Linked DNA regions of Mus musculus. The protein of the gene in region 2 binds, or shares a complex with, the protein of the main gene of each other region. Links are inferred from orthologs where the notes say so. Each region holds a gene or a part of one and is shown on either strand. Other genes may lie near its edges.

Region 1 (6,325 bases), on a different chromosome or scaffold from region 2:
GGAGTGAAGGAAGTTGCTGTCACTGTAGTTGGTCTGTCCATTCTCTTATACTTAACCTACTTGTACCTGCTTTTAACTTCTCCCAGCTGATTGGCATCCAGGATGGGTACCTATCCCTGCTCCAGGACAGTGGGGAGGTACGAGAGGACCTTCGTCTGCCTGAAGGAGACCTTGGCAAGGAGATTGAGCAGAAGTATGACTGTGGAGAAGAGATCCTGGTACGATGCCCCCTCCTTGCTTTGTATGCTGCTTTGATCCTTAATTCGAAGTCTTTCAGTTAAGGCATCTCTGGACTGTCATTTTGCTTTTCCAGATCACAGTGCTGTCTGCCATGACAGAGGAGGCAGCTGTTGCAATCAAGGCCATGGCAAAATAACCGGCTTCCAGGTGAGAGAACGCACCCCCCACTGTCCCCACACTTACTGTTGAAGTTACATCCTATATCTTAAACATGATTTCTTTCTCTTGCCCAGGGTGGCGGTGGTGGCAGCAGTGATCCATGAGCCTACAGAGGCCCCTCCCCCAGCCAGGTTCTGCTCTGGCTGGGCCCTTGGCTGGACTCCTATTCAAATTTATTTGACGTTTTATTTTGGTTTTCCTCACCCCCTCAAACTGTCGGGGAGACCCTGCCCTTCACCTAGCTCCCTTGGCCAGGAATGAGGGAGCCATGGCCTTGGTGAAACTCCCTGCCTCTTCTCTCGCAGCCCTGATGGGGGAAAGGGAGTTGGGTACTGCTTGTGGTTTAGGTTCCCCTCTCCTTTTTTTCTTTTTAATTCAATTTGGAATCAGAAAGCTGGATTCTGGTAAATGGTCTTGTGCCCTTTATCCTACTCATCCCCGATCTGGTCCCCTGTTCTCCATAGTCCTTCACCCCCAAGCACCACTGTACAGACTGGGGACCAGCCCCTTCCCTGCCTGTGTCTCTTCCCAAACCCCTGTAGGGGTGGTGAGAAGAGGAGGGGGGGAGGGGACACGATCCCTCCTCAGGCATCTGGGAAGGCCTTGCCCCCACGGGCTTTACCCTTTCCTGTGGGCTCTCTCCCTGACACATTTGTTAAAAATCAAACCTGAATAAAACTACAAGTTTAATATGAAGCCCCCAACTCAGTTGTTTATTTGTTGATTGAAAGGTACTTTTAGAATCTAGAAATGCTGAGACTTCATAGTAGCCTTTGTGGTTTAGGCAGTTGGATAGGAAGCAAATAAACAGCACTCAGGCATGATGGTGGGTACATTTTGTACATTTTATTGGTTTGGGGCACATAAGACCCCAGCCTGAGGGATGGAGGGTGGGCTGGAGCTCTCTGGTGGTTACTTGTGATAGAATCTTGGGTTCTGGCTGTGTTGGATGAAAGGGAGTCGGGGGCCAGGTTGGCTGGTGGTGGCAAAGCCTGACTGGTAATGATAAGAGTTTTATCAGTGGGTAGGTATTCCAGCACTCAGCACAAGGGGGAGGGGACAGTTACAGTAAGAGGTTAGTCTTTCCCTGGTAGTATATGTAGGTTTGATTGCCAGCCTTACCTTCCCTGCTGCTTGTATCTGTACGGGAAGCTGGGGGGAAGCCAGGAGTCCAGGGGCTGGATGCAGAGCTTGGGGGTGCATGGGCCGCAGAGAAGACTAGGAGACAAAGCTGACCTTAAAGGGAGGCATCCTGGGGCTCCCCTCATCTTAGCACCTTGGCCTCCCAGGACTCCATACTCACTGAGTCCGAGAAGCTGGTCTGCTGGTTGGCATGCTCCATCTGTTTCTGCAAAGAGAGGGTACTGCCGGGCTGGAGGAACCCTGAGGGGAGGAGAGTTTGAAATGAGCAGGTGGCAGTAGGACTCCTGAAGGTAGGGCTCCTGCCCAGGGGGATCTCACCTGTCTGAGTGGGCTGAAAGTGGCCATGCACTGCATAGGGTTGTGGCTGTGGCTGAGATAGGTACTGCACTGCAGGAAATGCTGATGGGGCTGAGGAAGGTGGGAGATGATCTGTTAGGGTTTGATGCTCTTGCTCTTCTTGCCCCTAGTCTGAGGAGAACAACACTCACCTCTGAGCTGCTGGCTAGGACTATAGGCTGGTTGTGTTGGCCCATAATGAGGTGGGGGCTGAGCAGTCCCATAAGCACCCCCTGGACTGCCTTGGAATTGTCCATGTTCTGGGGTTCCTGCAAAAGCAGCTGCTGATCCCACGTAGTGCCGGGTCTAAGGGGAAATGAAAGCTCACTGCTTAGGAAAAACCCCATATGTATATATATATGCCTTTACGCTCAGCTCCTACATACACATGCTTGGTATATTTGTTCTTGAATGATTGGGATTAACAGTACTGATCCACAGAAGGAGGAGACATGGAGTTAGGATCAGATTTCAAGACTAGTCTTGGCTAGTAACTTAAAAAGCCAGCCTGAAGAGTTAAAAAAAATCAAAAAACCTTTCCCTCACCGTAAGCACTTGTGGTCCAAACATCTGCTTGGCTCTGTCAGCTGCCATCAGAGTACCTGGGCGATTGTGTCCTCCAGGGCTCCCTAGAAAGGGGGAGAGGTTTCACGATGCTAAAATAGGCAGCGACCTCCTGGAGAACTCCCCTGTTAGGCGGTTTCCTCAGTCCTCTCACCCTGCATGCTGAGGAGGTGGGTTCCTGTATGAACCGTCAGGCTCTGCTGGTATGCAGCTGATGTCAGAGTGGTTAAGTCACTGGAGTGGAAGGAAGACAGGTCAGTTAGCCTCTTGCTATTAGATTGTCACCTGTGCCACTGCACAATTTTACTTTTAGCCATCTCATCACACCTCTGTTCCTTTCGCCTCCGTTTTTCTTCCTCATGCAAAACTTTCTTGAGCTGCAAGAAAAGCTGGTGCTTCTCCTCCTGTAGAGCAGAAAGCTTCTCCTGCAGCTTCAGGATCTGGAAGAGGGACGAGCAGCTAAAGCAGGGAAAAGAAGGCATCGAGAAACAAGTGTGGAGAGGCTACTTACCTGTTCCTTGGTCTCCTCTAGTGACATTCTCTCTTCCATTTCCTTTTTCTTTCTTCTCTCCTGCTCTTCTTTCATCTTCTGTTCCATCATCTTGTCCACCTCTTCCTCCTCTGAAGAATCAGAACGGGGAAGTGGCAAGGCGGTGTGAATAAGCTGAGCGTTAGACTGAAGACCAGCAAAAACCAGTTACTCCATCACAGCCACAGGGAGAACTTGGCTTCATTAGGTGCTCTCCAAGGTCCTTCCCAGCCCAGGGTTCTGGTCTGGAACTTAGACTGGGCCTCTTCACTCACACCCCGAAGGCGCCGCTGCCTCCCTCTTAGCCTCGCCAGCAGGCGCACAGCTGGGCCCGTGGATGGGGGCAAGTTCGTGGGTAGCAGGGCCACCCTGAGCCGAGTGTCTGTCCTCCCGCTCTGGCCCAGGCTCACCCTGCCGTTTGCGCTCCCGCTCCATCATGATGTGCCGGTGCAGAGCCCTGGCCATAGCGTTGGAAAGCTTGGGGCGCTCCAGGAGTGCGGGCATGATGCTGTTGGTGACGCTTGGGCAGTGGGCACCCGACTCTCACTGACTGCCAGACCTCAGGCGGGGCCTGCAGGGAAGTGGGAGCTTAGAGAGACTGCGACGCGCCGAAGCGGAAGCCCGTCCGCCGCCCGCTCGCCACTTCGATCACGTGTCCCGGGCACCAGCGTCCCTCCGGGGTCTCTGCCTCAGCGCCGGGGCGCGTGCGAGGGTCTTAGGCTCCGCGCCCCCGCCCCTCCCTCGTAGCCCTGGCGCCAACCCCCGCAACCCGCCTTGTCGGCGCTTTCTCCGAGGCCTTCGGCGCGCCTTGGCCTCTACGTCATATCCGGCGGCCAGGATAAATCCTTCCGGAGTCACGACGGCAAACGGCACAGCCGATTGGAGGAAAGGGAAGGCGGAAGCGCTTAGAGACGGGTGCCGGGATGTCCAAACTCCATGTGGATTTACAGAGCGGCCTGGGATGATAAAGCCCCTAGAACTCTTCACTCGCGAGGCCGCGGGAGACAGAGGCGGAGGCAGATGCTCTGAAGACAGTATTTATTGGCTCCTTAGAAATCAGAGTCAGTAACAACTGTACAGAGGCCCACAGCGTCCTCGGGCAGCCCTTCCTTTTACCCACTCCCTCCCCATGGCGCCCAGTGGCCACGGAAAAAGCAGCTTCATGTGGGCACAGAGAGACTCCTTTGGGATTCACAGTAACCAGAAACAAAAACGGAAATAAATTAAGTGATATGGGGGAGGGTAATAATAGGGAGTCATGTTCCCCAAGTCAGTGCATGAAGGGGGGACCCCGAGACGAGCTGGGCTCCCTCTCAGCAGAGGGAGTGTGCTGGGCCCTGAATGTAGAGATGTGCTTCACACCTGCTCTAAATCAAAGCCTGCCTACGTGCTCCTCCTTGCCAGGACAGCACTGGACATGCTCTCAGTCACGGGAATGAGGTGGAGGCAGTCGTCATTCAAGAGTCCTGGGCTTGAGGCCCGGCTGTGCTTGGAGTAGTGGTATGTCACCCCTTATTCCACTCGTACCAGCAGGGCATAGAGGAGTGTGGCTCCCTTCTCCTTAGTGACCCACTCAAGTTCCGATGGGCTGAAGTGCTGGTCAGGAAGTTCTCTGAGGGCCGCAGAGGGAGGGCCAGGAGTATAGGAGCCAGGGCGCACACACACCTGAAAGGCCACCTGAGCCTGGTGTGTCCGCTGGGATTTTGGGTCCCGGAATCTGTTAGCCAAGCAGAAACGAGAGAAGAGTAAGGCTCCCAAGGTCCATGACTGCTAATTCTGCCCCCTCCACCCAGGCCTTGCTGTTTTCTGGGAAATACTGTTCACCGTGACTGGCTTAGCACCAACTATTGTGTATGTAGTACTCTCCTCCCCTGGCCTGCTCAGCTAACTCCTCCCCAGCACTCTTCATGTGTTTATTTACCCTGGCACTCTAGTTCACGTCTTCCAAACACTCCAAGTGCACTTCTCATCTACTTCACCCACTTTTGGGAGACAGTATAGGGTCTCTACCAGGCTGGAGTCAACCTCCCTATAAAGGAAGGACAACCTTAAACTTCCGACCCACTGACCCTGCCACTTAGTGTTAGGACTCCAGGAATTTGTTACAATGCGCAAGCACAGTTTAGGTAGTACAAGGGGTCAAACCCATTGCCTGGTGCAGGATATTTTGAAAGACTTGGTATCCATACACATTCAGAAAAACAGGCCTACAGATGCACTCATCTAATCCACACTCAGCATGGAGATGGAACCAGGAACTGAGTGTTCAAGGCCGGCTTCAGATACAAACCAAACATGAATGTGAGGCCAGCTTGGACTACTTGACATCCTGTTTTAAGAAAAACAAAAACAAAAACAAAAACAAAAAAACCAAAAGGGGCTGGAGAGATGGCTGTTCTTCAAGAGGTCCTGAGTTCAATTCCCAGCACCGCTTACAACCATCTATAATGGAATCTGATTCCCTGTGGCCCATGTGTTTAATCCCAGCACTGGAATTAGAATTTCTAGGTTCAAGGCCAACTTGGTCTACAGAATGAGTTCTAGGACAGCCAGGGATACATAGAGAAACCGTGCCTCTGTGTGTGTGTGCGTGCATATGTGTGTGTGTGCGCGCGCATGCGTGTGTATTACGGGAGGGAAGGAGGAACAGTGACAGGTAAAGGTGCATCCAGGAACAAGCAGGGCAGGAAGGGTGCGGTGGGTGACTGAGCACAGCCCTGAGCCCCTAGTGCTCCCGGCATGTACTCACTGCACTTTGGAGGCCAGCATCTCTGCCCCGGCATACTGAAGGGAGGGGGAGAGCAGCACTGGAGGGGGCTGCTCTTCCCGGGGAGGTGCACAGTTCTCACCAGGCTCCTCAAATCCCACCCCAGGCTCTCCCTTCAAAGGTCGGCAGCTCAGGATGGAGGTAGTACCTGTGAAGAGACCTGGGTGAGGGCAGCCCCATGATTCCTCCCAAGATCCCTCAGCACAGCCCACTCCATGATACCTGCTCCCAACTCCCCTCGGTCCAGCACTCTCCGCACAACAGCTACACTGCTTCCATGATATGCCATGTGCCACTTCTTTGTTAGTGTGCCAGCTTCCAGATGGGGATTCACCCTAAAAGGACAGATAAGACCACCGAGTCAAAGGTCACTGGTTCCTCAAGGTCACCCCCACACAAGGAATGCTGTCATCTTGCCCCTCTTGGGACTCTTCCTTTCTCAGGGAAAACTGCCCAGAGGAAAATACATGCCTGAGGCCTGTATGTACCTAAGGTTGAACCTGCACCATCCGAAAGGCAGGGCGTACTCCCGGGGAGGCTCTCCTCGGCGCCTGTGGGCCTCATCTCCTCGCAACTTCCGGCAAGAT
Region 2 (5,564 bases):
CTGAGAATTTAGGAAAGAGGAAAAATGAAAGTACAAACTGGGTGGGTTCTCCTGGCAGAAGTTGGGCCTGGACACTTAGTGAACCCATAGCTTCCTTTGTGAGTATCCACAAACAAATACACACATACACATATACAGATGTGCAAATACACTTGAACAAATGTCCATACAAGCATTAAAAAAGGTTTTGATGCCTTTTTTTTAAAGAATACTATATTTCACCAATAACAAAATAAATCAAACCACTTATTTTCGACATGTATAAACTCCTGTGGTTATAAAGCAGAAATGATTGGTGCACATCACAATCTTCAAAGGACATGTAGTATATATCGTACTATTCTGTGTATGCACTGGCTATTATGGGAAGTGCTGACAGCTCTTCGACTGAATCAGCAGATAGGAAGTTAAACATTTTACTTGTGTCAATAAAAACAATTAAGCTGAAATCCTTTTGAGAACCAGAAGAAAGATATCTACAAGAAACATGGCAAAATGTCCTTATAAAGTAAATCTGAGACTTATGTTAACCCTATTATTTGTATTTACATTTAGCCTTAGATACACATCACTGTGTTCAGCTTTTAAAAGTTGAACTGGGTACATCAGTGCTCTCTTAGGAAAGGTGAGAAATGGTGGTTTTAAACATGTATTTCATAAGTACAGAATTTGCCTGGCATATACTCATAAAGAAAAAAAATGAAAGAAGAGAGGTAACATACTATCTATGAAGACACTATGGGAAAATTTTTGTTTTAAATCAGGAATAGACCTCTGATCTCAGCACTTGGGGGTGGGGTCAGAAGGATCTCAAACTATTAACAATCTAACTGAAAAAGGAAAGGACATGATCTGCGCGGGCCTCAAGTTCACAGGAGGAGGCTGCAGGAGCTGATGATTACGTGACGTGAAATCCCAGGCACAGCAAGCACTGAGCAGAGGAGAGACAGAAAATGGAAATGGGAGACGATCAGTGCCTATCACTTCAGTCAATAAAGTCAGAATACATCTTTTAAAAAACCCCCACCACAAAGGTAGCTAATCCAGTCAATTTGTTCACCCAAAGTGAACCAAAGAAGCAAATGACAGATATGGCCAACAAGTGTTTTTCTATGTTTTCAAAACCCCTGGCCATCAGAGAAAGGTGAACTGAAACTACTTTGAGCTTCTAATTACCCCAGACAGAATGGCTGTCAGGAAAAAAGTGCTAACATGCTGGAAGGAGTGCAAACTAGTACAACACTGCAGAATTCACTATGGAGGGTCCTAGAGTAAGTGACAGAAACAGAGGAGCTGTGCCCCAAGCACACAGATGAAATGAAGGACCCAGTCAATACACCACAGAAACATGTACACAGCTGTACTATTCAAGATGAGAATCAACACATGAATAACGAGAGCAGAAGAAACATGCATACACAATGGAATGTTATGTAACCTTAGAGGAAAAATAACCATAATATTTTACAGGAAAATCGGTAGAACTGGGAAGTATTATTAAGCAAAATATGCCAGACTCAAATGACAAATACGTTTCCTCTCATGAATATACTGCATTAGTTAGCGTTTATTAATGTAGGTTGGAGTGCATGTCATGAAGCTAGAGACGGGTTTATGAGAGGGCTTAGAGTGGTCTTAATGAGGAGAGAGGACAGCATGAGGCTGGAACAGCAGCTGGGGGAAGGGAAGGGAAGGGAGGGCAGAGTCACCGAGAGGCGCAGGAAACAGGCTTAATAAAAAAATCAAAGCAGCCGGGTTTGGTGGCGCCCGCCTTTAATCCCAGCACCTTTAATGAGGCAGAGGCAGGCAGACTTCAGAGTTCAAGACCAGTCTGGTCTACAAAGTGAGTTCCAGAACAGCCAAGGCTACGCAGAGAAACCCTGTCTCAACCCCCTCCCCCCCCCAAAAAAAAATCAAAGCACAAAGTGCCATAATGGTGTTCTTTAGTTTAAATGCTAGTTTTTTAAAGTAAAATTCAAGAGAATTTTCAAAACTACTTACTGAAGAAGTCAGCCTACTTACTGAAGTACATAAGGATACTCAGCTTCATTTCACATAATAATGTAAGCTTGAACCCTCCCTGAACTGGACTCCTGCTGAGTATGAGCCAGAAGCATGGTGCTTTGTGCAGTAAAGATGCAAGAGAGCTAAGAAGAAAAGTCATTGTTGGCCATGAAGGCAAAGATGGCCAAAAGCTCCTCACTATGGCCCTTCCTGAGCCATCAGATATAGAATTTAATGAAAGATACTCAAATATAAATGGTTTAGAGCAAGTAACGCATCAAATAAAATATAGTGGGAATCTAGTACAGATCAGGAAATGGCAGCCTGTAATGTATTAGTATGCACTACACCAACGCAGACCTGGGGAACATAGGGCAGTTCATAGGGCACAAAAGCTATAAAGAAAAGTGAAAGCAAAAGCAACAAACTGGCTTCTATTTGGGGGTAGCTCCTTGCCATCCCTGAAAAGGCAGCCAACCAAGTGTGAAGTCACTAAAGAGATCTTGTCCTTTAACCTCAAGAAAGGTTAAGTTCACCGTAAGCTTCATTTCAAATATACTATGCTGCTCAAGTAAAAAAAGACATCTATTTCTAAATTGACTTTGCACATAAAATGCAACTTTCAGTCAGTGTTGATTCAGCTATAAAATGCCCCAAAGTGTTCTTAGATTCTTAAAACTAAGCATCACATTGATATCACATAAAGAAAAACAAAAATATAAGTAAATCGGTAAATGCTTCTTTAGTAAGTGCAGCTTAAATTAATGGGACGTACCTGTGTGTTCCAGATGTGCACACACTTGTCAAAAGAACCACTTGCCAGATACCTGCCATCAGGACTAAAAGCCACACTGTACACGGGCTCTTGATGTTTTGTCAAAGTATGGATGCAAATCCCTCTGTCTACGTCCCATAACCTAACTGTAGAATCAAAGGATGCACTAAAAAATGGAAAAGGAAAATAATTTTATAAGCAATCAAATACTCTCTTGGCCTTGCCCCTAGCCTCCCACATTCTGCCCATCCTAAGAGGCTAGCAAACTAAACGGCTAAAATTCAAATAGTGTGGAAACTGGGAGGGAAACATGAAAAGGACGGAAGGCCCTGACCCCTGCCCACTCAGGTAACTCCCAACAATCCTGATTATTGGTCCTTGGTTCTGAATCTCTCTCTTTTTTTTTAAAAAAAAAAAAAAAAAGGTTGCTGATGGACTTTTATTATCCTATGCCCAAATGATCTGCTGTTAACTGAAATAGAGTCTCACTATAGAGCCCATGTTGATTTCAGGCACACTGACTTAAGTGTAGGATTTTAAGTGTGGGTCAATATGCAAAACCTAACTATTGGGTTTTATTCATATTGGATTTTATATCAATAGATACAAAAAAGCATTAAGTCCTGAAATTCTAATATTAAAAACCCATGTTTAAAGTTTCCCACTGAAATATATCCACCTCAAGATATGTTCCCTGTTTTCTGCCATTTTTTCCCAAAAGTTTTATGCATGAGAAACTCAACAGGAAAAGTGAAACAGACACATCACCTTGCTAGCATAAGGTTGGCATTTGGATTATTTGTCCCTGGTCCTGTTGGACTCCACTTAATAGTATAAATTTCTTTATTATGTGCTTGCAAATCATGGACACAGTTATCTTGCTTCATACTCCAGATCTAAATCAAAAGAAAAAATGTGGTAGTTTTCTGTACAACAGATACTTTTAAAAGCCATGATCTTTAAAGTAAACAAAGAAACAAAAAATACCACAGCCAAACATCAAGAGAATAACAACAAAGAAATGTAAGAGTAAAAATAATAATAATAATAATAATAATAATAATAATAAATAAATAAATAAGGAGAAAAAAAAGAAGTGTAAGAGTAGTTGAATAAATGAATATTTGATCCAAATATTCCTGATTGCAAAACTTGAAGGCTGAGTGGACTAACTCATCTCAACATTTACAAAGTCCTTGAACTAGGTAGGTAGGTAGGTAGGGTTCCAATAACTCGGCAAGGGGAGTCCAGAGGGGGGTGGGCAACGAGTGGGGGTAGGAATGTGTGAAGCCCCTTGTTCAGTTCCCAACACACAAATACAAACACCAAAAACAACTGGAAGTCACATTCTTTAAATGCAGTAACAGCTAAGTAACAGTGCCTTATAGCTCAGGTGTTTACAGTCCTAGGAAATGAAGCTGACCCATCCATTTCTAAAACTCTGCTTTTGTTTTCAAGCTTTGGGCACTGGGGAGCTTACCATTGTCACTCCTGCAACCCTTGTCACACTCCTCTTTCCACTTTTCGACTCTTCTTCATCTAGGGGACTCTGTTTCATGAGGTTTATCATCCTATAGCCTGCTGTTCATAACATATCACCATTTCATTTCTGCTTTGAAATCCTCTGTGACCCAAAATTCTTTGTTGGGTGAAAAAAAGCTGCAATCTAGACCCCAAGGTGTCTAGTTCTAGGCTCTTCAGCTTGCAGCTCAATCTACCAAACAAACTTCTCTGAACACTGGCATTCCTTCATTGTATAAGACTTAATGCATGTGGATGAGAAGGAAATACAGAGGAAGAGATACAAGGAAGCCAGTATGGTGGCTTCATCCTATACCCAGGGCTTGAGGATGTGCAGGATCTCAAGTTCAAAGCCAGCCTGGGCTACACGGTGAGATTATGGCACACACACAAATCAAAAACAAAAACATAAACAAAACCAACCACAACAAAAACAAGGCTAAAGATGCAGCTCAGGTTGTCATGCTGCCTTAGCATTCCCAAGTCCTACATTTGATCCTGGAGGTTAAGGGAGGAGAAGGCACACTTAGCCTCTTCCCAGAAAACCAAGTTATTTTCCTGCAGGACTACCCTATTTGTAAGAGCTGTCACTATGGTACTGAAGCTAAGGATAAATGTTTTCAGTAGAGCATGTGTGGCATGAAGAAGTGAAAAGGCTCAGTCACTGCAGAGACTAGCACTAGGCTGGTCTTTACTTCCACATAATGCTTCACTCCTTGTGGGATAAGGTCACATCACACTGTGTTCATGGATGGCTAGTTCCCTATCTCACCTTGACCAACGCATGGGAGACTCAGATATCTTGCCTAAGCATTATTTCCTGTGTCACTCAGTAAGACCAAAGCAGACTGCATTCTCCATGTTGATGGGCAGCATTCATGTAGGCAGCTTCAATACTGAGCTGAAATACAGGTTTTCTGCCTTCAGCCTGGGCCTTAACCAATGGCCCTGGCACTACTTGAGCTTCAAGTTTGGAACCACACGACTACCTATGGCGGTTTGGATCAGAATGGCCCCCATAGACTTATAGATTTAAATGCTTAGTCCTCAGTTGGTGGAACTACTCTGGAATGAGGAGGAGGTATGGCCTTGTTGGATGATGCTTTTACTTCAAAGACTGATACCATTCCCATTGCACTCCCTCTCTCTGCCTTGGGATTGTTGACATAAGCCACTGCCTTGCCTGCCTGCCTGCCTGCCTGCCTGCTGTCATGCTCCTTGCTATGGTCATGGATTCACCATCTGAAACTGTTAGGCCCAATAA
Region 3 (5,564 bases), on a different chromosome or scaffold from region 2:
CAAGAAAAAAAAAAGCTGTATAAATAAAATTCTGGATATGCACATGTGCATGTAGTATTCTTATAATCTATAGAAAATTATCTATTCAAATAATACATAAATCAAGCCATAAATAACAGCTACTTCCATGGAATAATTCTGGAACTACGTGAACACAACATATTTTGATGTTTATAATATTTTCATATTATTGTTGTTTTGTTCTTAAAAGTGTCAAAAAGAGTAGAAGGCTCGCAGTCTAAAGGAAACCAGCCAGGGCCAGATGAACTTGTGCCTTCTCACTTGGAAGCCTTCTCTGCAAGCCTAAGGAAGCACCTGCCCTCCAGCCCCTGCCCCAGACCTGCTGTAGTTCTCCTCGGGACCTCTCTCTTCAGCGTCGGCCTCGTCAGTCCTGTCATACGTCAGGAGGTCTGCCGGGACATCATGAATCTGGACACTGGGTGCATGGTTCAGCATCTTCAAGTTTTCAAAGATTGTCTGGCGGATCTGGTCCAGATACTAGTTTAGAAGAAAGAAAGTCAGCGGTGTTGGGGTGATTCCTATAGTACAGGAAATCCTACCCACCTTCGTCCCTGACCGTCCTGATCTAAGGTAGTATTTCAAGGTCAGATCCTCAGTTGGCAACTGTCCCTCCCCAACAACCCCACGATAAGATCGACAGTGACAGCCCAGAAATTCTTTCTCTTGCTCTCTCCACTTCCCCCCTCCTGGACCTCTCCTGAACCCCCCCCCCCATTGCTGTGTCCAGCCTCTCCAAGCTGCTAACCTGGCGTGAGTTCTGATTCTCGATGCGGGTGCTGACATCTGGATGGAGTGTGAAATCTGGGGCAAAGTACTCGAAGTATTCTTAGAGATGAGAAGCAATTGGGAGAGGGGATGAACAAGAGTATGGCTGAGACACCAGAGTGAATCCCATGGCTTTCTGATCTCCTCTCCGAGGCCTGGTCCCCATGTGTAAGAGTATTTGCTCTGCTCTGAGCACAGGGATTTAGTCTGCAGAGCTACCAGAAGGTGCAATTTCCCTCCAAACAAGGTCATTCTGAGGACTGGTGAGAATGGTGTCCCCCTGTGGTGGCATCATGAAGTGGATCTTACCACTATAGGGAAGTTCCTCACTAATGGCCTCTTCTACCAGCAGAGATGTTTCATATGTCCTGAAACCAGCAAGCAGAGGGGTTTGGGTTGATGGCGTGGGCTGAAAGGACCACCCCTCCAATTTTAGGGAGTCTGTCGTGAACCACAGAGTAGTAGAACAGAACACTCACCAACACCGGGCAACATTTCGGACAGTGTAGCCACCACCTCCCAGTACCAGGAGAGGGATATTGAAACTCTTGACATATTCAACACATTCCCTGTTAGAAACAAGAGGACTAGGTAAATCTAAGACATGTGACCCCAGACATGACTGGAAATATTGTACAAAGACTTGACCAACAATATTTCTCTGTCATATTGTGTAGTATAACTCAAAGTTGCATTCTTTGTGTGTGACTACTTGTATAAACGGGTTTGTCTTCACATGTGTGCCAGTGCATGTGTGTCTGAGGATGTGTGCATGTATGTTCACACATGTATACAAGGGCTAGAAGACATTTTCATGTGTTGGCCTAAAGATACTAGCCACCTTTTTTTTTTTAACCTGGCACTTGCCAAGTAGGCTAAGCTGGCTGGCTACCAAGCCCTATGAATCTTCTGGTCTCTGCTTCACCAGGGCTGGGATTACAGATCATAAATGGGTGCCACCGGGCCTAGTGTTTTTACATGAGTTCTGGGATCAAACTCAAGTCTTCATTCTGTATAGCAAGCACTTTTACTGAGTGTGCTAGTCACCCTGTCCCCACCTGGCTCTGAGCTATATGCTACACACACACACACACACACACACACACACACACACACACACACACACACAAACACACAAATGAACAAATAAAAATACTAGCGTACTTTACTGTGTTGTGTCTCAGTGAACATTTTAAAATAAAGCACACCCTCACGGCCTTGCTTACTACTCTCCGCCACACCTGGCCTGCTACCCAACTACTCCCATCGGTGTCGCCACCAGAATGTCTGTTCTAAGCTTCAGGACATACCTTCATACCTCGTACTTCTCTCCATCAACACATGCCCTGCCCAAATAATGTGATTGGCTTCCTAACTGGCTGCCCACTACCCACCCTGACCCCAACTCCCACACCAACCCTTTCTTCATTTAGCAGTCAGAACAGTAACTCTCAAACTCATTGGACCCTGTCACTTCCCTGTTTAAGATCCTTCAACGGTTTTCTATCACCCATGGAAGACAGGGTCTAATAGCTCTGCACACTCTCAGCCTGGCCAGCTTATAGCACCTGCCTATGTTCTGGCCTCATAGGCTGTACTGTCTCTTGTCAAGACAGTAATTCTTTTTTACTTCGGTCTTAGGGCTTTGCACTGGCCCTTCACACTGCTTGGAGTAGGATTCTCTGTTCTCCTTTTACGGCTCACTCCTTAGTCTCCAGGTCTCCCATTTCACCTTCTCAGAAAACCTTTCCCAAAGCATGCTGTCTACTATACATTCCCAAGCCAGGTGTGGTGACCTGAGCTTGTAATCCCAGAATTTCAGAGGCTCAAGCAGGAGGGTCACAAGTTCAAAGCCAGCCTATGCCACACAGTGAGCCCTTAAATAAAACTGTACCATTAAAAAGTAGATTCCCTGTTGTTACCCTGTCTTATTTTTTCCCTCATTAGATTTTTGATTGTATGTATGTGTATCATATACACATATATATGCAATAATTAATAATAATAACAACAACAAATTACAACTTTAAATAACAACAAGAAGGAAGGCAACGCACCCATGTCCTCGAATGCTGAGATTGAAGCAGCCTAATCGATCACAGCCCAGGGAGTCAGCGCCACACTGCAAAAAGGAAAATCCCAAATGGCTACAGTAGCACGAATGCTCAGAACATCAGTGTCCTCTAGCGTCCTTCCTCACCAACTTAGGGAGCTTACGCTTCCTGATCTCCTTCCTGTAGCCCAGGCAAGTCCTCTTAGGGAGGTGCTAAGGGAGTTACCTGGAGCACGATGCACGTCGGCTGGTAGAAGTCCACCACCTGGCTGATGACTGGCTGGAAAAGGTGCTTGTAACCTGGGAGAGGGCCAAAGGTGGGCAACCTGGCACCCCAAGGGGATGGGGAGACAGGGAACAAAAGGAAAAAGGGGGTTGAGAGAGCATGTAGCCCAGGAAAGGGGCGACCCACAGAACCAACCACTGGTTCTGAACTTCTGGAGGGTGTTACAACTGCCAAGTTAAACACTAGCAACCTTCCTCCCAGAAGAATAAATGAACAAAACGTATACACACATAATATATGTCATACAAATTCCAAGGGTTCATGGTCCCTCTGAAGGCCATTCGTCCTTAAGGAAACCTGGCCCAACAATAGACAATACCAGGCAGAAGAGGTTAATTGAAAGAGAAGAAAAGGGGAGACGAGTGAGCAGAGAGAAGTCATCAGAACTTACTCTGGTCATCAATGCCATCTCGTAAGGGCACATTGAGACAATAGTAGCGGCCACTCTCTGCTCCAACTTCATACATGTCACCTACAGAAAAGAGAGCGCAGTGACCGTGCACAGGAAGTTCCCTCAACACAGCCGTTCCTCTGTGCCTTCTACCACCAAGGCTCCAGCAACCTGCATTCACTCAATACAGGGTCACAGCTATGTAACTCAGGATGGCCAGGAACTTGTTGCATTACCCAGGTTAGCTTTGAACTCTTAATTCGCCTGTCTCGGCCATCTGATTATTGGTATTATAGGTATGTACCTCCTTGTCTGGTTCAAAAAATTTTACTTAGCCGGGCATGGTGGCTCATGCCTTTAATCCCAGCACTCAAGAGGCAGAAGCCAGCCTGGTCTGTAGCAATAGACAAAGAATGAACATAAAAACTAGAATAAATACAACTAGCAGTGAGGACTCTAAGAAAAAGAGAAGGTGAGGTACCTGTTTGACTTAATGGAGTGGTCAGAAAGGTTTCTCTGCAGAAAGGACATAATACTTAAGACCAGAAGGCTAAGGAGTCAGTCATGGCAGAGAGCTGAAGGACAGCCAGGGGCAATGGCACATCCCTGGTCTCCCTAATTCAGCATGCTGATTATGGAGGATTCTGTACAGACACACACACACACACACACACACACACACACACACACACACACACACAAAGAGCTAAGGGGTACAAAAAAAAAACAAAAAACAAAAAACCACAGTAATTCTATTCCCTACCTGTTCCAGGAAAGAAGTAATTTCCGTATTTGTGGAAGGACACAGTCATGACCCGGTCAGTGAGGTAGAAGGCTTCCTGAACCCCGTCACCATGGTGGATGTCGATATCAATGTAGAGCACCCGAGGGTGGTACCTGGTGTGAGGACAGAGCCATGTTCTGAGGAAGAGGCTTATCACCCAGTCCTCTCCTCCCCAACACAATCTCTGGAATTATTTAGAGTCTGCCTCTGGCCAAGTCACTTGAAACCTCATCCCACCAGCTTCCTCCAGGCTAGAGCCTGGGGAGAAAGGGAACATGCAGCGGGGCTGAAATGTGAGCAGGCAGCAGGGCCAAGCAGGAAGAAGCATCAAGAACTTAGGAGAAGCCAGTGGGGAAGGAGGTCAGGGCTGGGCCACGGCCTGAGGACCTGCATCCCAAAGTCTCTCATCTCCTCTGGCGATACTTACTTAAGCAGCTCCAGGATACCAATTACTATGTCATTGACATAGCAGAAGCCAGAGGCCTGTGGGGAGATGGTTCTATAAACAGAGGAACAATTCTTCTATCCAGCTACCCCAGCACTGTCATTCAGCCGACCTCACCTAGGGTAGCCACAGTTTTCCCCATTGCAACCTTACCTCAAATTTCTTGGCATGATGTAGACCACCGGCCCAGTTGATGGCAATATCACAGATCTGAAAGATAAACACCCATTCAGTCTTTTTCTTGCCCACCACTGAAGCTGGGTTCCAGATCAAGGCTCTATGGTCCTGAATCTGGAAACCCACAGGAAAAAGGACCAAGACTCAGGGTTACATCACCTTGTTGTTTAGCTGTGTTGCTCCTTGCAGAGATGCGCCTGTGTAACGGGAGCAGAACTCGAAAAGTCCTGGAAACACTGGGCTGCAGGGCAAAAAGTGGGTGGGGTTAACACCCCTCTTGTCACTTTCCCCCACCTTCCCCACCCAAACTCCAATTACCACTGTCTAAAACACCCCCTACCCCTTCTCCAGACCTGAGCCATTCACAGACCTATCCAACAAAGGTTTTAGACCAAATCTTGTACCAAGCTTTGTTGCAAAGCATAGTACAGGAAGCAGAAAAATGTCTAAGTGCCAGGGAGTTTGTACTCAACCTGGGAAGCAAAGTAAACAGCTTCTTGGGTATACAAGAAATGGGAGGGAGCTAGCTGAAGGAGGAGGCTGGCTCATCACAGAGGTGTCTGTGTGTGTCACACTTTGTCATGATGTGTAATGATATTCTTTTCAGTTACACCTTTTTTCTTTTCTTGAGACAGGGTGTAT
Region 4 (6,051 bases), on a different chromosome or scaffold from region 2:
ACTGCCTCTCCCCACCCCCTCATGCCCCACAGTTCAGCCTTGTTTGGCCAAGTCACCCTCTCAGAGTCCCTAAGCCACCTACCTGCCTAGAATGGCTGTCCCCTTTTCTGTGGTCACATTCCTCCACTCCCTCCTGTTTGCTCTTTCTTTCTTCTGTCACCTTCTGCCTTCCCTATCAGACAGACTGCAAACTCCTTCCGGCCTATTCTCTGGTGAAGGCATTTGGTAAACACTGGGGGCGGCCTGGGGAGGAGGCCCGGAGTAGCAAGGGCTGATCAACAGTAGCCCCGTGGTTGTCATCACTGTTATTGATCAGGCTGCCCCTCAAGACTTCCTTACTTCGAATCTAATCACACCTACCACACCTCATGGCTCACTTACAGTAAGGAACCATAATAACATCTTTAGCTATATCTTTTTCTGCTTAGGTTGAACCACATGAATTCATTACTACTGCTATTATTATTATTTTAAAGGTTTGCTATAAGCCTTTCTGGAGTGGTTTAGGCTAATGCATAAGCAGCAGAAGGAATCCAGAGAGAGAGAGAGAGAGAGAGAGATCTTGGCCCTTTGGATGGAGTGGGAGTGCCAAGTGCCTCCTCACTGCCCTGAGGAAGAGCACACACACACACACACACACACACACACACACACACACACACACACACACACACACACACACACACACGACACTCCCCTCCCCTGCCCTCTGCATCAAAATGAAAACTGCAGCATCACCTGGGGTCTTCTCTTGCCTGGCAGAGAAGAGGGAACGCTCTCCAAGGTCTGATCCAGGGCTATTTGAAAAGAGCAAAAGCTTCAAGCAGGGTCTCTTGGGGGGATCTGGCCGCCCTCCCCAAGGGAATGCACTTATCTCTGGGGAAGGGAGGGAGGACAGCAGTTTCTGGATGTCCAGAGCACTCTGCTCCTCCTGTAGAAGGCTCCATTGCTGAGCTGTGCAGACTCAGTCACCATCGAGGCCACGCCCACTTCCCAGATGGAGAAACTGAGGTGGAAACCAGCAGGCCAGAGATCACAGAGGGGACAGGGTTTGTGTCTGCCACCCTGTCTCACGGTCTTTCCTCCAGACCACTTGGGCCATGTATGTGTGTGTGTGTGTGTGTGTGTGTGTGTGTGTATGTATTATCTTGCCGTTGCCTCTTAGCCTTTTTTTCAGTGTCCCAGAAGTCTCAGAATGTTTCTTCACTGTCAGGACACTCCAGGATAGCAGTAATACACCCGTGTCTCTCTAGTGACCTCCTCAGGGGTGAAGTCCCCGAAGGAGAGGCCTGGGAGCAAAGGGCAGGTAGATCCATTTCACAGACTTTTGTTTCTATGGTTACTCTACAAAATGACACACCTCAGGCAAAAGCTTGCAACCTTGCCAGCACGTTTTTTTTTTTTTTTTTTTTTTTTTTTTTTTGGTTTGTCGAGACAGGGTTTCTCTGTATAGCCCTGGCTGTCCTGGAACTCACTTTGTAGACCAGGCTGGCCTCGAACTCAGAAATCCGCCAGCTTCTGCCTCCCGAGTGCTGGGATTAAAGGCGTGCACCACCACCACCCGGCTACCAGCACGGTTTTTTTAACCTTCTATGTTTATATCCTGTTGCTTTTACGAAGCAATGAGACTGTTTCATTTATGATATGTTTTATGTCCCCACCCCCACCCCTTGGGTCTCATGTACCCCAGGCTATCCTTGATCTCCATTTGTAGCAGAGGATAGCCTGGCTTTGGTGGATGAATTCCCCATCCTCCAAGTGAATCTCCAAGTTCGGTCGATTCGGTTTTGGGGATGGAACTCTGCCGACTGAGCTGCACCCTAGCTGCTAAGCACCCCATTCTTGGAATTAGGATTCCTGGCTGGTTTGTTGTGTGGCCTTTACCAGGCACACCCCCTCCTGGGACAGGTGATTATATGCCCATAGAATACGAGCGTTGGATGAGATAGACGGTTTCTAGACTGCCCCTAGAATAAGGGCCTGGGATGAGATGGTTTCTAGAGACCCTTTCAGGTCAGAGAATCCACAACTCCACAGTACATTTTTAAAGTTCGGGATGACTTTGTAATAATCAGGACCTGCCTGCTCATGCGCCATCACTGTAGCCTCCCAGATCACAAACGTTCCCAATGACAGGGGACTCAGGTGGTACTTAGGCTTTCGAGCTGGCGCTGGGCTCTGGCAGCCACACTTATACTTAGTCTCCCTTTATGAGGGGATAATAACACTCATTTGCAGCGAAGCTCCAGGTTGGGGCCACAGGGCAAGGTCCCCTGCCACACTGCTTTGGCCCTGGCAACGCACAGCACCCTATGATGCCCACCCAGCCCTCTGCCTGTACACTTAGATGACGTAGGGCTCACTACCGGCGCTGGCCTGGGGAAAGGGAAGGGTCTCCTCTTTTAGCCTTAAGAAAGTCCTTGGGTGAGGGAGAGGGAGACAGGCGATCAGGAGGTGCTGAGCCTGTTCCTTAGTGGGGACAGATGTCAGGAAATGAGGCAGAAGTGTCCAGAGATGGGCTTAAGCCTTTCTCTCCCTCCACATCCCTCAAGAGATGTCTGGAGGCGAGGGACGTGTAAGGACACATTCCTGTGCTGAGGCACAGGTGGTTATGAACAAGTCCCTGGAGCATTCGCAGAAGAGCAGGCTCTGAGACAGAAGGGCCACATGCTAGCTAAGGGACACTATCAGGATTGCAGCCACAGTGGGACCAGATTCCCCAGTTTCGCTAGTGAGAGTCCCCATCTCGAGAAGAATGCAACATAAGACCTTCATCAAAAGGCATCTTATAGAACTTCCCAGCCCTACACCAGAGGTCTTTAAAGATCCTGGAGTCACTGCACCCCTAGATACATGCTCAGTCCCCCAACCCCCGGAGACACTGTTTTCCTGGCAAGTGGACTGAGGACCGAGTGTGGTAGTACCAACCCTGTCCCACCAGGCTGGTACGCAGAACTGGGCTCCGGCAGCTGGCCAGGGCGCGGACCAGGACGTCCTTCTCCATTGCCCGAATGCAGGTGGGTGTTTGCTCGGCTCGGGTCCAGGCAGGTCTGAGGCTGAGATCTGGCCATTGCCAGCGCGGGGCTCCTCCTCCAGCTCCAGGCGATGAGCCTGGTCTGGGTAGCAGACTGCTCGCCCCACCCGCGCGCCCAGGTCGCCTCGGCAGGGACTCAGGGATGCTTCCTCCTCCACCGTTTCCCGGGACTGGAAGCTGAGGCCCCCGCGGGTAACCCAGCCAGGACAGGAACAATCACGACTCGGGTCCACGGGGCACCTGGGCCACACCGGGGCCTGTCGAGACTGGCTGCCGCGCCCAGGGCGGGCCGCTCACCGCCGCAAGAGGCGCGGGCGGTAAGGACTGGCCCCTAACCTCTGGAGCGCGAACCTGGGGGTCGCTGCTCCTAGTCACCCACTGAGGGAGCGGCCGCACCAGTATCCCGATGGGGAAACTGAGGACTGGAGCGGGGCAGAGCTTTGTGTGAGATCGTGCGGGGGTCTGGAGGATAGGTCTCCGCGACGCCGGGGACAGCATCCCTCCCGCCACAGAGCCGCAGCCCGGGCGCAGCGAGCGTCCCGCCCGGCCCGGTCCCACCCTACCTTGTTGGCTGCCGCGCAGGTGGCGGCGGCGGCGGCTCCGGCTCCCGCTCCGCGCTTCGCGCCGCCCGCCGAGTCCCCGCGCCCAGTGCCGCCGCCTCCCCGCGCAGCCCGGCGGGCGGGACCGGGCCGGGCGGGGTCGGGGCGGGGCGGGACGGAGAGGCCCCGCCTGTGCGCCGCCCGTCGCCCGCAGCTCGGTTCCCGTCCCGCGTGCACACACTCTCGCCTCCGACACGCTCTCGCCGCAGGCTTTGGGTGGGACTCGGGTCCCGAACCTCAGTTTCCCCTTGCTGAGATGGAGACTGTCATCGCGCCTGCCTCCCAGATGGCTCGAAGCTGGATCCCGCAGCGAGCGCCGGGACCGCAGCTCTGCAGGCGGCGGGAGAACTGGAGAGCGGAGGGCGGCTGCGCATCCGGGAGATCCTTCCCACTGCTGCCATTAGGGGGCGCTGCGTCCAAGCCGCTCCCTCTTTCAGCCGGGTGCTCACTGAATATGGAAGATAGGACGTCATATCTTTCATAATAACCACGCCACACCACCTGTCTTGGAAAGTGTTCTTCGTGTCTTGTAGTGATGTGTTTGGTGGGGGGCGGGGGGGAGGAGGGAGACTAGCACTGTACCTGGCACAAAGTAGGTATTGTATATATTGTTAACTAAGAACACAATTTATTACATTTGATCTACCAACGCCTTCAATGTAGTCATAATACTCCCATTTCATAGACAAGAAGTTGAGACTTTAGCTGAGTTCTTGGTAGGCTCTATAACAAATTTAATGTGTGTGTGTGTATGATTTGTGATGGTGGGATTGAACATTAGGACCGTGCATATGCTTGCCAGGCAAGTATTCTACCTTTGAGCTACACTGTGAGACCTCTCCTCTTTTTCTGAAACAAGAGTTCACTAAATTGCTTAGGTTGGCTTTGAACTAGCCATCTTCCTCCCTCAGCCTCTAGGAGCTGGGATTGTAGGACTACACCACCACACTCAGCTCTGGTGAGTCCTTGATCACTTTAGAACAGCAGTCGCTAAAGCCTTCCTCTAGTTCCTGCTGAACCACAGGGCCCTGGGCCGGTTTTCTTCCTAGAGCTGTGGGTTTCCCACGTCTGAATTCCCCCTGCATCCCGCTTGGAGCTGCACTGGCAGAAGCACACAGCGCACAACCGCAGCAGTTGGACCTTTGCCCTCAAGGGTCCATGGTAATCTAAAACATTTTTGTCACTTTTTAACGAGTGTGTGTGTGTGTGTGTGTGTGTGTGTGTGTGTGTGCAAACTTTCAGAAGTTAGTTCTTTCCTTTCATCTTATTTCTGCAATGCTACATATTCCTGGCTGACTGTCCCTGAGCTATCGGGCAATATATCAGATGCCTCCCATCTCCAAGTAGGAGGGCTGCATTCAGCTTTTTACATGGTTCCTGGGGACAGGTCTCAGGCTGCCTGGCTCCTGAGACAGCACTATCACCCTCTTAGGCATTTTACCAGCCCATTTATTAATTTTTTTAAGGAGGGTCCCACATAGCCCAGGTCGGTCTTAGACTGTCTATGAACTAAGAAGAACCCATGAACTCATTCTCCTGTCTACCTCCTAAAGGCTGGGGCCACCATGCCAGGCCCACCACAGTGTTTCTGACTTGGCTTTACCCTGGAGCAGGCTGACTCATCTGGATGCCCCAACACAGTAAAGGCGGAGGCTAGGGTCTGGTGGTCCTCTCTCTCTCAGCATCATTCCCAAGCTCCCGCTCGCATCATCTCCTTTGGAAGGTCTCTTTCAAAATCATCTTAAAAGAAACTCTTTTTTCATGGTGCCAGGCCAGTTGTCTGTTGGGACAGGCTTGTTTGACAGGATTATCTGGGGGACTGTGGGCACGTGGACCCGTAAATCAGAGGGGAGACCTGGAACCTGGCATGCCTCTTCTGTGTCTGGGGAGGGGCTTTCCCTGTGTCCTCTTACCGGTTCCTAATCCTACCTCAGGTGTGGAAGGCAGCCCCTGACAACCCCTAAGTTACACACAAGGGGACACAGCCTACCAGGGCCTGCTCAGACACTATGGGGTCAGACACTATGGGACGTGTTGGGTTGGGAGACATCACTGATTGACTTTCTACTTGTCCTGTAGAATGTGGCCGTGTGTGTGTGTGTGTGTGTGTGTGTGTGTGTGTGTGTGTTGTACTGGGAGAAGATAGCCCCTGGGCAAGGGTCTATTTGGGATATAAGCTTGAACAAAGTAGTTTGGGGGCGTATCCCTCTCACATCCAGTCTTTGGGGTCTCTAGGCCCCTGTCCCTTTGTTCTCTGAGAAGGCCTGCTGGTCCAGGGGTGGGAGGGGTCGATCATGGAGTTCCATCTCTGTTCTGGGTAGGAAGGTGGGGCTGTGGCATCAGATCTTCCAGCCTCTGAAGCAGTGGCCCCTGGGGAAGGGGCAGCAGCTGTGGGGCGAGCAAGGAACCTGACACTAG

What was found.
Region 1: Tbl1xr1 (region 2) and Gps2 share a complex: the UniProt entries of both Homo sapiens proteins name them as parts of the N-Cor repressor complex. The link is inferred for Mus musculus from reciprocal best matches to the Homo sapiens genes TBL1XR1 and GPS2.
Region 3: Tbl1xr1 (region 2) and Hdac3 share a complex: the UniProt entries of both Homo sapiens proteins name them as parts of the N-Cor repressor complex. The link is inferred for Mus musculus from reciprocal best matches to the Homo sapiens genes TBL1XR1 and HDAC3.
Region 4: Tbl1xr1 (region 2) and Coro2a share a complex: the UniProt entries of both Homo sapiens proteins name them as parts of the N-Cor repressor complex. The link is inferred for Mus musculus from reciprocal best matches to the Homo sapiens genes TBL1XR1 and CORO2A.

The regions. Positions count from the first base shown.
Region 1 is NC_000077.6:69,911,490-69,917,814, reverse strand, and holds Gps2 (G protein pathway suppressor 2), read right to left. Parts: upstream 3,796-6,325; 5' UTR 3,476-3,795; coding exon 3,382-3,475; intron 3,064-3,381; coding exon 2,954-3,063; intron 2,883-2,953; coding exon 2,770-2,882; intron 2,677-2,769; coding exon 2,597-2,676; intron 2,508-2,596; coding exon 2,425-2,507; intron 2,185-2,424; coding exon 2,031-2,184; intron 1,951-2,030; coding exon 1,861-1,950; intron 1,783-1,860; coding exon 1,703-1,782; intron 1,618-1,702; coding exon 1,522-1,617; intron 1,396-1,521; coding exon 1,312-1,395; downstream 1-1,311. Other genes in the region: Eif5a (eukaryotic translation initiation factor 5A-1), read left to right, coding at 87-218, 314-376; Neurl4 (neuralized-like protein 4), read right to left, coding at 4,484-4,688, 5,721-5,886, 5,961-6,073, 6,227-6,325. UniProt on the Homo sapiens protein: Key regulator of inflammation, lipid metabolism and mitochondrion homeostasis that acts by inhibiting the activity of the ubiquitin-conjugating enzyme UBE2N/Ubc13, thereby inhibiting 'Lys-63'-linked ubiquitination.
Region 2 is NC_000069.6:22,201,208-22,206,771, reverse strand, and holds part of Tbl1xr1 (F-box-like/WD repeat-containing protein TBL1XR1), read right to left. Parts: intron 3,676-5,564; coding exon 3,548-3,675; intron 2,946-3,547; coding exon 2,780-2,945; intron 932-2,779; coding exon of another isoform or gene 899-931; exon of another isoform or gene 1-898. UniProt on the Homo sapiens protein: F-box-like protein involved in the recruitment of the ubiquitin/19S proteasome complex to nuclear receptor-regulated transcription units. Plays an essential role in transcription activation mediated by nuclear receptors.
Region 3 is NC_000084.6:37,940,613-37,946,176, forward strand, and holds part of Hdac3 (histone deacetylase 3), read right to left. Parts: intron 5,164-5,564; coding exon 5,082-5,163; intron 4,956-5,081; coding exon 4,899-4,955; intron 4,784-4,898; coding exon 4,728-4,783; intron 4,414-4,727; coding exon 4,280-4,413; intron 3,598-4,279; coding exon 3,517-3,597; intron 3,166-3,516; exon of another isoform or gene 3,140-3,165; coding exon 3,066-3,139; intron 2,909-3,065; coding exon 2,844-2,908; intron 1,356-2,843; coding exon 1,266-1,355; intron 1,155-1,265; coding exon 1,096-1,154; intron 847-1,095; coding exon 767-846; intron 499-766; coding exon 341-498; intron 1-340. UniProt on the Homo sapiens protein: Histone deacetylase that catalyzes the deacetylation of lysine residues on the N-terminal part of the core histones (H2A, H2B, H3 and H4), and some other non-histone substrates.
Region 4 is NC_000070.6:46,598,220-46,604,270, forward strand, and holds the start of Coro2a (coronin-2A), read right to left. Parts: upstream 3,711-6,051; 5' UTR 3,598-3,710; intron 1-3,597.